Canis lupus familiaris: one gene and its partner. The protein of the gene in region 1 interacts with the protein of each later gene in a pairwise test. Links are inferred from orthologs where the notes say so. Each region holds a gene or a part of one and is shown in the gene's direction. Other genes may lie near its edges.

What was found. The genes of interacting proteins can lie anywhere in the genome.
Region 2: the proteins of BANP (region 1) and CAMK2D interact in binary tests that used the Homo sapiens proteins (3 or more experiments, as listed by UniProt). The two-hybrid records come from large-scale screens. The link is inferred for Canis lupus familiaris from reciprocal best matches to the Homo sapiens genes BANP and CAMK2D.

Annotation. Positions count from the first base shown.
Region 1 is NC_049226.1:65,737,964-65,742,323, reverse strand, and holds the start of BANP (protein BANP), read left to right. Parts: upstream 1-1,500; 5' UTR 1,501-1,624; intron 1,625-2,225; exon of another isoform or gene 2,226-2,648; intron 2,649-4,360. UniProt on the Homo sapiens protein: Controls V(D)J recombination during T-cell development by repressing T-cell receptor (TCR) beta enhancer function. Binds to scaffold/matrix attachment region beta (S/MARbeta), an ATC-rich DNA sequence located upstream of the TCR beta enhancer.
Region 2 is NC_049253.1:6,361,223-6,365,648, forward strand, and holds the start of CAMK2D (calcium/calmodulin-dependent protein kinase type II subunit delta), read left to right. Parts: upstream 1-1,568; 5' UTR 1,569-2,057; coding exon 2,058-2,122; intron 2,123-3,764; coding exon 3,765-3,859; intron 3,860-4,426. UniProt on the Homo sapiens protein: Calcium/calmodulin-dependent protein kinase involved in the regulation of Ca(2+) homeostatis and excitation-contraction coupling (ECC) in heart by targeting ion channels, transporters and accessory proteins involved in Ca(2+) influx into the myocyte, Ca(2+) release from the sarcoplasmic reticulum (SR), SR Ca(2+) uptake and Na(+) and K(+) channel transport.

The DNA of each region.
Region 1 (4,360 bases):
TTGTTGAGATTTTGAAATAACATGAAAAAGATCAGTCTACAAAAAACAAAACAAAACAAAAAAACAAAACAAAAACAAAAAGATCAGTCTACATTTATCTACTCTGTACTCAGATATTTGCATGTCCATGTTAAGAATTCTTAGTTAAGTGTTTAGTTTTGGCTACGGTTGAGGCAGAGGTGGGGATAGAAGACATTGCCCTCACTTATCTCTCAGGATTTGCACGTTTAGCTTCTGCCATCCTCTTCCCCACTATGAGCACACTCTAGACCAGAGTGTTTTGGTTTCTAAACCCTGGTTTTGTCTTCTTCCAGCAGTGTGACCTTGCTGAGCAATTTCCCTTCCTCCCAGGACAATTCTCATTTCAATGCGAGCATCTTTTCCAGCACCGATCTTCTGTGATTGTTCTCTGTAATTTCTTCAAGGCACCTTTCCTGTAAAGCTAAGCCAAAGATCAGCCTCGGTAGATCCCCCAAGTGTGCATTCTGGAAGAGACTATTACTAGCAAGGTTGCCCAAGGGCAAGCAGCTCGTTACTGCCTCCAAGAATCAGGTTTTTATCATCGGCAAAAAGGGAAGTAGGCAGGAAAGTTACAGAAACAGTAGAGCATTTTCTTTTCCAAATGAAAATAGCTCCACAGTCTTGTTTTTGGACGACCGAAGAAATTCTTGCCCGTTGTAAACAACTCAGAAAACAAAGGCAAGTGTAAAGAAGAAAACAAAAAGCAGGGTAACCCCAACGCACAAGAAGAGCAACAGTGATACCAGTGAGCAGGAGTAACATTGCCGGATGGTGTGTACAGCCAGTGGTTTTTCCCCACGAGCACCAACAGACCAGCACTTATGCTACACACGTGTAACACAGCCACATGCACACCGCATGTTCGTGTACATACGCACACACAGAGATTACTTCCACACGGGACAGGTCACACCACGAACACACATTTTCCCCCACGCGTGAGCCCTGGGAAGTGTGGTCAGACTCCGGGGACCCGGAGCACCAGCTATTACTCGGGGGCACCCCTTCGGAGTCGCAGCGGCCTCAGGCCCCCCGTCTCCAACTACAAGTCCCAGCAGTGGCGGGCGCGGGCGCCGACGGGAGGCCGGAGTCCGGAGAGACTACAAGTACCAGCAGGCTTGGCGCACACGCCGGGACTACGATTCCCAGGAACCTCAGCTCGCGGCTCGCGCAGAGCCCTCCGGGATATGTAGTCGTCGCGCGCACCTAATTCCTATTCATTCAGCCTCTGAAGAAACGTAAATTCCTCTCGCGGTCCACCGACGCGACTTCTCACGGGGCTAGCGAGGAGACGGAGCGCGCGCCGGGAAAGGAAAGATTCCAGGCCCCAACCGTGGCGCGGCCGGACGACGCGTGCGCATGCTCGGCGGTCGCCGGCGCCGGCGAAGGCGCGCGCGGGAGGCCTGGAGCGGCAGGCCCCGCCCCCTGGCCCGGTCCCCGGGCCCGGCGCGCCCCGCGTGAGGAGCCTGCGCAGACGGGGCGGGGCGGAGGGCCGCGGGGAGGGACTCGCGGCGCCTGCGCAGAGCGGCGGCTTCTCTCGCGAGGACGGACGCCATTATCGCATCTCCCCGACAAACACCACGAGAATTCCGCAGCCCACACGGTAATTGCAGCTCCCGCAGCCGGTCGCGTCTCCACCTCCCCCTTCCCGCGGGGCGAGAGCGAGAGCGAGAGCGAGATCTCCCCTCCTCCCTCCTCCCTGCGCCCTCCTCCGGCCGCCGCGCCCGCGCCCGCCGCCCCCGCCCGGGACGCCCTGCGCGGCCGCCCAACGGCCCGCCGCCTTCGGCCCCGCCGGCGCGCCCCGCTCCCGGCGCCCTCCCCGCCCGCTCTGGCTCCCCCGGCCGCCGCCGCCGCCGCCGCCCCCGCCAGCCGCCCCCGCCCCCCGCGAGGGCCCCGCGCCGCGCCCCGGACGGACCCGGGCACAGGCCTCCCCTGTCAGTCGGCGCCCGGGGCCCGCGGGCAGGCCGCCCTGCGCCCGGTGTGCCCGCCCCGCGGGGCCGAGGGCTCACGGGGAGGGGAGGGGAGGGGAGGGGAGCGCTCAGGCTTGGGGAGTGCGGCCTGGGGTTTGCCTCGAGACCCCCGCCCCGCCCCGCCCCCGGTGGGCGCCCTGCACCGGGCGCTCCTCGAGGACGCGGGGGCTCGGGGGCTGCCGGGGGGCTCGGGGGGCTCGGGGCTGGCCGCCCCTGGCGCCCTCTGCACCGGCTGCACCCCCCGGCCTCGCCAAGGTCGGGGTAGTCCAGGGGTCGCCCCAGGTGAGGGACCCGGGGGACCGCCCGCCCATTACTCCGCTTCCGGACCGCCCTGCATACGAGGATCTAGAGGATCTGGAGGATCTAGCGGCGGGGAGACCGCGGAACAGCCCCCGAGATGAGTCGTCTCTGTTTAGCTTCGTTCTCCCTTGTGTTGCACTAAAGTGAGAACATGTGCTCAGGATGTTGGATTCCGTGGACATCCCGTGGCCTTAGGGTCTGGAAGTGGCTGCCGTGCCCGCGCTCTGTGCTGTGGCTGGGCCTGCGGACCACTCCCAGGGCTTCTCATCGCAGCCATCTAGAGAGGTGACCGGCCACCGGGGTTAGGACACTCGTCCAAGACGCGGGGAGCCAAGGCCTTGAACTCCTCTCTCCGAGGTCCGTGCTCTTAAATAATAATACATCTAGCAGTCATGCACACGGTAAACCCTCAGGGGAAAACTTAGGTTGAAGAGCAACAGCCCCGTCTTACTCCTCAAAGACTTAACATCTTTTTGCTCTTGGGGAAGGTCTCCGTAGCTCTGGAGAGTACCTTGGTATTTTATTAGTCTTACACATTGTTGACATTCTGTTATCATACGATGATTGAGCCCTTCCTATCATATCCCACCTTTTCTATCCCCTTAATTCACTGTGTTCACTTGACTCAGATTGTTTAAGACCGAGCAAATACTGTTTTTCACTTCTACAGCTTTCTGTTTTTTTCTGTTGTTTGTAGTGGCCTTTCTTTTTCTTTGCATTCTCTGTTCCCATTGACTCTTTACGTTGTAAATTATCAAGGGATAAGGTCATCTCTCCAACTCCCCACTCCTCCCTCCCCCCCATCCTCCTCAGCCCTCTGTCCTCTTTTTCTAATCTGGATTGATTACTCAGGCCAGTACAAGTATTCTTCTGATATTTTCCTTTATTATACATCCCAGTTTGTACAGGATTCCATGTTTTAATCTTGGCTTTCTTCATTTCAATATCATTTCTGCCAAATAGTCTTATTCGTTTTGAGTAACTCCTTACAATCCGCTTTGGTGTTAGGACATTTCCAGAGTGCCCTAGGATGTGGAGTCTCACTGTGGATGTTCAGTGCTTCTGGGCGCTTGCCCTTCAGCTCTGGGAAATCCTCTTGTATCTGACAATTTCCCCTGCATTTACTCTTTTATTTTGATGATGGACATCTTGGATTGACCCACTGAATCTTGTGTCTTTATCCTCTTTTGTCATTTTCTTCTCTTTTTTGGGAGAGGGCTTCAAGTTATCTTCCAATCCTGTTTAAAATTTTTTATTTCCACAGTTGAAAATTGATCAAAAACTTATGTGTTCTCCCCGCCCCCCCCCCCCCCCCAGTAGCTACTTGTGAACATATTCTTGATTTTGAGGATACCAACATGGGATTTTTTTCAATTCTTTTGTTCTTTGATTTCTTATTTCCTCTAGTGCCATTGTTGCCTTTTAAAAAATATTGGCTTCATACTTCATGTGGCAAATATTCCTTAAATATTGGTAATTGTTGTTTAAAGCAAGAGGAAATGGGCAGAGAGCTCTGAGTCTGTGGGGCTGGTTTTGAAAATGTGTGGGTCTCCCCTCAAGTCATTGGGAACTTGTTACTGTGTGGGACTTTGAGTGCCAGATTGCAGAGACTTTTTCTGTGGGTCTTACAGCTTAAGACCAGATCCCTTTGATTTGGGATTGGTCTACCTGGTCTAGGGAGGGTGTGAGCAGAAACGGCCTGTGCTCTGCTGAGTGTTCTGGCCTGCCACAGGCTTACCCACTTTGGCTGTACCCACTCCTGTATGCCCCAGATTGTGGTTTCCTTTGCCTCCATTAGATCCTATCAGTCTCCCAGAAATTTGCAAAGTATCTTGTCTGTGTCATATTTTCTTTCTTGTGGGATTGTTATATGCAATTAAAAATTAATTTAATGGGATGAGCAGAGATCACCTTTGTGGCAAGTTGCTCCTTGTGAGCAGGAATTACAGAGCCCGTTCTTGTCTTTCTGCTCTGCTGCCTCTCTTGGTAATGGATGCCATCCGTCAGTGGAACCGATGCCCTGAGCATTGTCCCCGTGGTCATCTCCGCGTTGCAGTGTGGGCGGATGT
Region 2 (4,426 bases), on another chromosome or scaffold:
CTGTATATCCAAGTTATCCTTTATCTTCCAGCTGCGGAAATCTGAGTCCATGATGTGATGCTAATCATGAACAAATCAGCCAGAACTACGAGGTTTTTAGGGTCCCCTGCTGTAAAACAAAGGACAGCAATTTGGAAAGACCGTTCAAAACCGTTTTGTTCTGCCTTCAAAATTGCAGATGCATAGTTTATTAAAGACAGAAGGGAGGGCCAGGGGTTGTTTCAGCGATCAGCGATTTATTTTAAATCTACTTTTTTCCTCCTATTTACTGTCTGCTAATGCTAAGGACACACTCTTGAACCGTTAAGTCGCTTACGAAGCGTACTTCCGGGTCACTGCCTAGCCAGGTCTTCGGTCATGCGAGCAGAACACGCCCGGCCGCTAGACTTCTCTTTCTTCCCTTTGCAAAACGAAACGGGCCGGAACGTGTTCACGTGATGCGAGTGACGTCAGCCCCAGCCAGGTCGCGTGACCGACACCCAACCTGCCCAGCAGCCGCCCCCGCCCCCGCCCCCGGCCCCCGCCCCCGCCGCCCGGGCCGGAGATCTCGCGAGAAGCCGCCTTACTATCAGAACTTCCTGAGCTTACGCGGGAGTTACTCTGAAGGGAGGGTGTGGCTCGCTCCTCGCTCGCTCGGGGAGTGTTTGCTTTCATTCTAGCCTTCGGCAAAGGCTGAAGCGAAGGCCTGGGGCGGGGGTTGTCTGTCAAGAGTTTGAGCGACCCGGCCTGGAAAACGGCGCGGGGGCACGTGGGCAGTGAGGTGCAGTCGCCTCACACGTGAAACGTGGCGCACGGCGGGCAGCGCCCCTCGCTAAGCCGGCTGCGGGCGGCGGCGCGGCTTCTGCAGGCCGGGCCCGGAGTCCCCGGGGGCTGTGGGAGGCCGGGACCCCGGGCGGGACGCGGCCGACTGCCCACCTCCGGCCCCCGCGGTGTCGACCCCGAGCGGAGCCGAGCGGACGCGGCCGCGGCCGCGCACGTCGCCCTCCCCCCGGGGGCACCCCCCGGCCGGCCCGCGGCTCGCCCCGCGTCGTTCCGCCGCATCCAGCCCCAGTGTCGGCAGCCGCCTGACCGCGAGGTCACCTGGGCGGCTCGCCGTGTCGCCTCACTCGCCTAAACCCTCGCCGGGCTGCTCGTTCGTACATCCTCCGCCCCCCCCGCCCCCCCCGGCCCCCCGACGGGTGTGCGCGAGCGTGAGACCCGGGGCGGAGAGCGAGGTCCGCGAAGGCGCCGGGCTGGGAGTCGCTAGAGGGAGGTGTGGGACCGGCGAGGAGGGGGCTCCGCGGAGGGAGCGCGGGGGAGGGGAGGGGAGGCGAGGGGAGGAGGCGGAGGCCCAGGCCCGCGGAGGGCCGCCCGGGCTTCGCCCCATCCGAGCGCTCTTCCTCTCGCCGCGCAGCCGCGCAGCCTCGCAGCGGAGCGGCGCGGGCCCCAGGGGCAGCGCCAGGCAGCCGAGGCGCCCGCGGGAGGCAGGCGGGCCCCGGGCGCGCACGCTCGGCCGAGCCCCGGCGCGCCCCGCGCCCCCCGCGCCCCCCGCGCCCCGCGCCCCGCGCCCCGCGCCCCCCGCGCCCGCTGACAGCTGCAGCTGGGCTCGCGCTGTCCGCTCCCGGCTCCTCGGCCTCCGCCCCCTCGGGCTCCCTCCCCTCCAGCCCGGTGCGGCTAGTTTCGCAACTGCTCGCCTCTCGCCCCGTGCCCGGCTGTTTTCCATTTCCCGGCCCCTTCTTCCCGAGTACTTCGCCCCCGGCATTTGGGGGAGAGGGGCTGGGAAGGGGCGGGTGGAGCGTCCCGCGGAGAAGGAAGCACGGGCCGGAGGAGGAGGAGGAGGAGGAGGAGGAGGAGAATCGGCGGGCCGTGGGGAGGAGACCCCACGCCACCCTTTCTGGTCATCTCCCCTCGCGCCCCGCCCCTGCGCACACTCCCTCCCGGGCGAGCTACTTTCGGACGAGGAAAGTGAGGGCGGCCCTGGGTGGCAGCGCCGCGGGGCCAGTCCCGGGGAAGCCGCGCGTCTGTTGGAGTCGCGTCCGCCGGCTCTCCCAGCCAGGGGCATAGCCCGCACCGAGAGGATGGCTTCGACCGCAACCTGCACCAGGTTCACGGACGAGTATCAGCTTTTCGAGGAGCTCGGAAAGTAAGCGCCTTTGCCCGCGTCCGCACGTCCCCTTCCCAGCAGAGGGGCGGGTAGCGTTCCCCGACCCACCGGCCTCCCGCGCGGGGCGAGGGAGCTGGGGAGACCCGAGGAGTGGGAGGAGGGCCAGTGGCGTGGCCGGCTCTGAGCAAGGTGCTGCTCTAGCAAGAGGAGGGGGACCGAGACTGGAAAAGACCCTCCACCCCGCTTGTGTGGCCCATTCCGATAATCCTCAACCCACCTTCTCCCGCCCACCCCCCCCCACCCCAACCCTCTTGCACTAGAGACTTAGTGGATTTACGATCCCTGCAGTTGTAGCTGTCATCCTGAGAAGTGTGCGAGCGTGCGTGTGTGTGTGTGTGTGTGTGGAGAGAAAACAAGAACCCGTGTAAAATGCAACATAGATCGTGTTTTCTGTAAATAGAGATGCCTCCTGGTTAGCCGGCGTGTCGCCCGTACGACCCACGTACGAACGAGAACTCCCTGCCACAGACGGTGCCATATTTATTGATGCCGAAAGTTCAACTTGGCGTGGAGTCTATTTCACGTCCAGTAGTTGTTCTGTCCAGGAAGAGGGTCACCAAAGGAACTCGACCCCCTGCCCCATATCCACTACCCTTTGCACCTAGATTATTCGCTCATCATCATCCTTCCTAGGATTTACGTGTACATCTTCGCATTCTCTGGGAGGATTTATTTATACAGGCGACGGAAAAGACCTGGAGACCGAGAGAAAGCTTGCCAAGGGTAGCCTAGCGTCCTATAAAAACGACCTCCCACGCCCCGACTGGCGGAACTCCTCGGAGAATTTAAGGAAGGGGACCAGAGACCTCCTGAGGACCTGTGTGCTTAGGGACCCAGGGGCCAAACCGTGAATGTTGGTTTATGTAGCATCCCACCCAAACCCTATTCCTCTATCGCTAGTGCCGACTATTACTTACGAAAGGGGTGCGTTTATGTGTATGTATGTATGTATGTTTTATACAATTGAATTCAAGAAACTGTAATTATCTTTTAAACGTAATGACAAGTATATCCTTACATATTTATATGTTGTCTGCTGTTAAAACATGGAGACTATGTCGGAAGAGCAGCTTAATTCAAATCTCACCCTTCCCCCAGCTCAAAAGAGGGCACAGAGAAATCACCGTATCAGGACTTATTAAACCACACAAATGTTCCCAAGATTTCTATTTTAGTGAAAACAATCGCCATATTTACTTGGAGCCACATTAATTTTTTTTTTCTAATAAATAGGCAGCAGATTTTTGCTGCTCCTCCTCAGCCATGCTCTTTGCAGGTTTTTTTTTTTTTTTTTTTCCCTTCTCAGAGCATTTGGTACTATGTGAGTGTGAATTGTAAAATGTTTTCAAATTTCCTGGGCAAACAAGAGCCGTCATAATTGGCAGTTTCTTTCATTATGTTGATTAATAATGTGTGCTCCCAGTTAAATAAAATTTACTTTTATTCTTCAACATTAAAGAAGGCTTGGGTTCCCAGGAAGAATCGTTCATTTTCTGATATTACTGTAGCGCATTGATATTTTACAAATCACTAAATGCAGTAAAAATGCTCAGATTGCTGTGATTTTTAATAGGATATCAGAGCTGATTATATTGATGACATGCTAATTATTGGTTTTCAGGGGGGCTTTCTCAGTGGTGAGAAGATGTATGAAAATCCCTACTGGACAAGAATATGCTGCCAAAATTATCAACACCAAAAAGCTTTCTGCTAGGGGTGGGTATTTTCAACCACATAATACAGTATATGTTAATTATGTATTTGTCATGTTGATTGTTCTGTTGTCTGTAAATATATAGTTATAATTGAACTGTAGACTTAGGTGTCCTCTTACATTTTTGCAGTTACTTCCTTCTTGAATGCCTCTTGGTATGTATAGTTTAAAAGTTAAGTGAAGACATAGAATTTTAACAACAAATTATTAAATCATTCCAACTGTCCTGTGAGCAGCAGCATATGTAACTATTTTACAGCAAATAAGTTGTCCCTTAGTGCGTCTTGCTTTTAGCTCTGCTGTGAAACAACTTTCAGAAATACCCTGGAATGGAAAAATGTCTCACAACTGTCATTATTCTCTTTTGCTTTTAAGAGGAAAAATAGGTCATAGCTCAGTTGAATCATATTTCAATTGTAGTTACACTTGAACTTAATTTATCAAGGTATATTTAACAGTAATAGCTTTGGGAGGAAAAAATTTATCATTGCTATATTCTAGGAAGTTCAGCTTGATTTTGAGGTTTCCGTGTGTGCAGTCCAGACCTATACTGGGTCTTCCGCATTAAG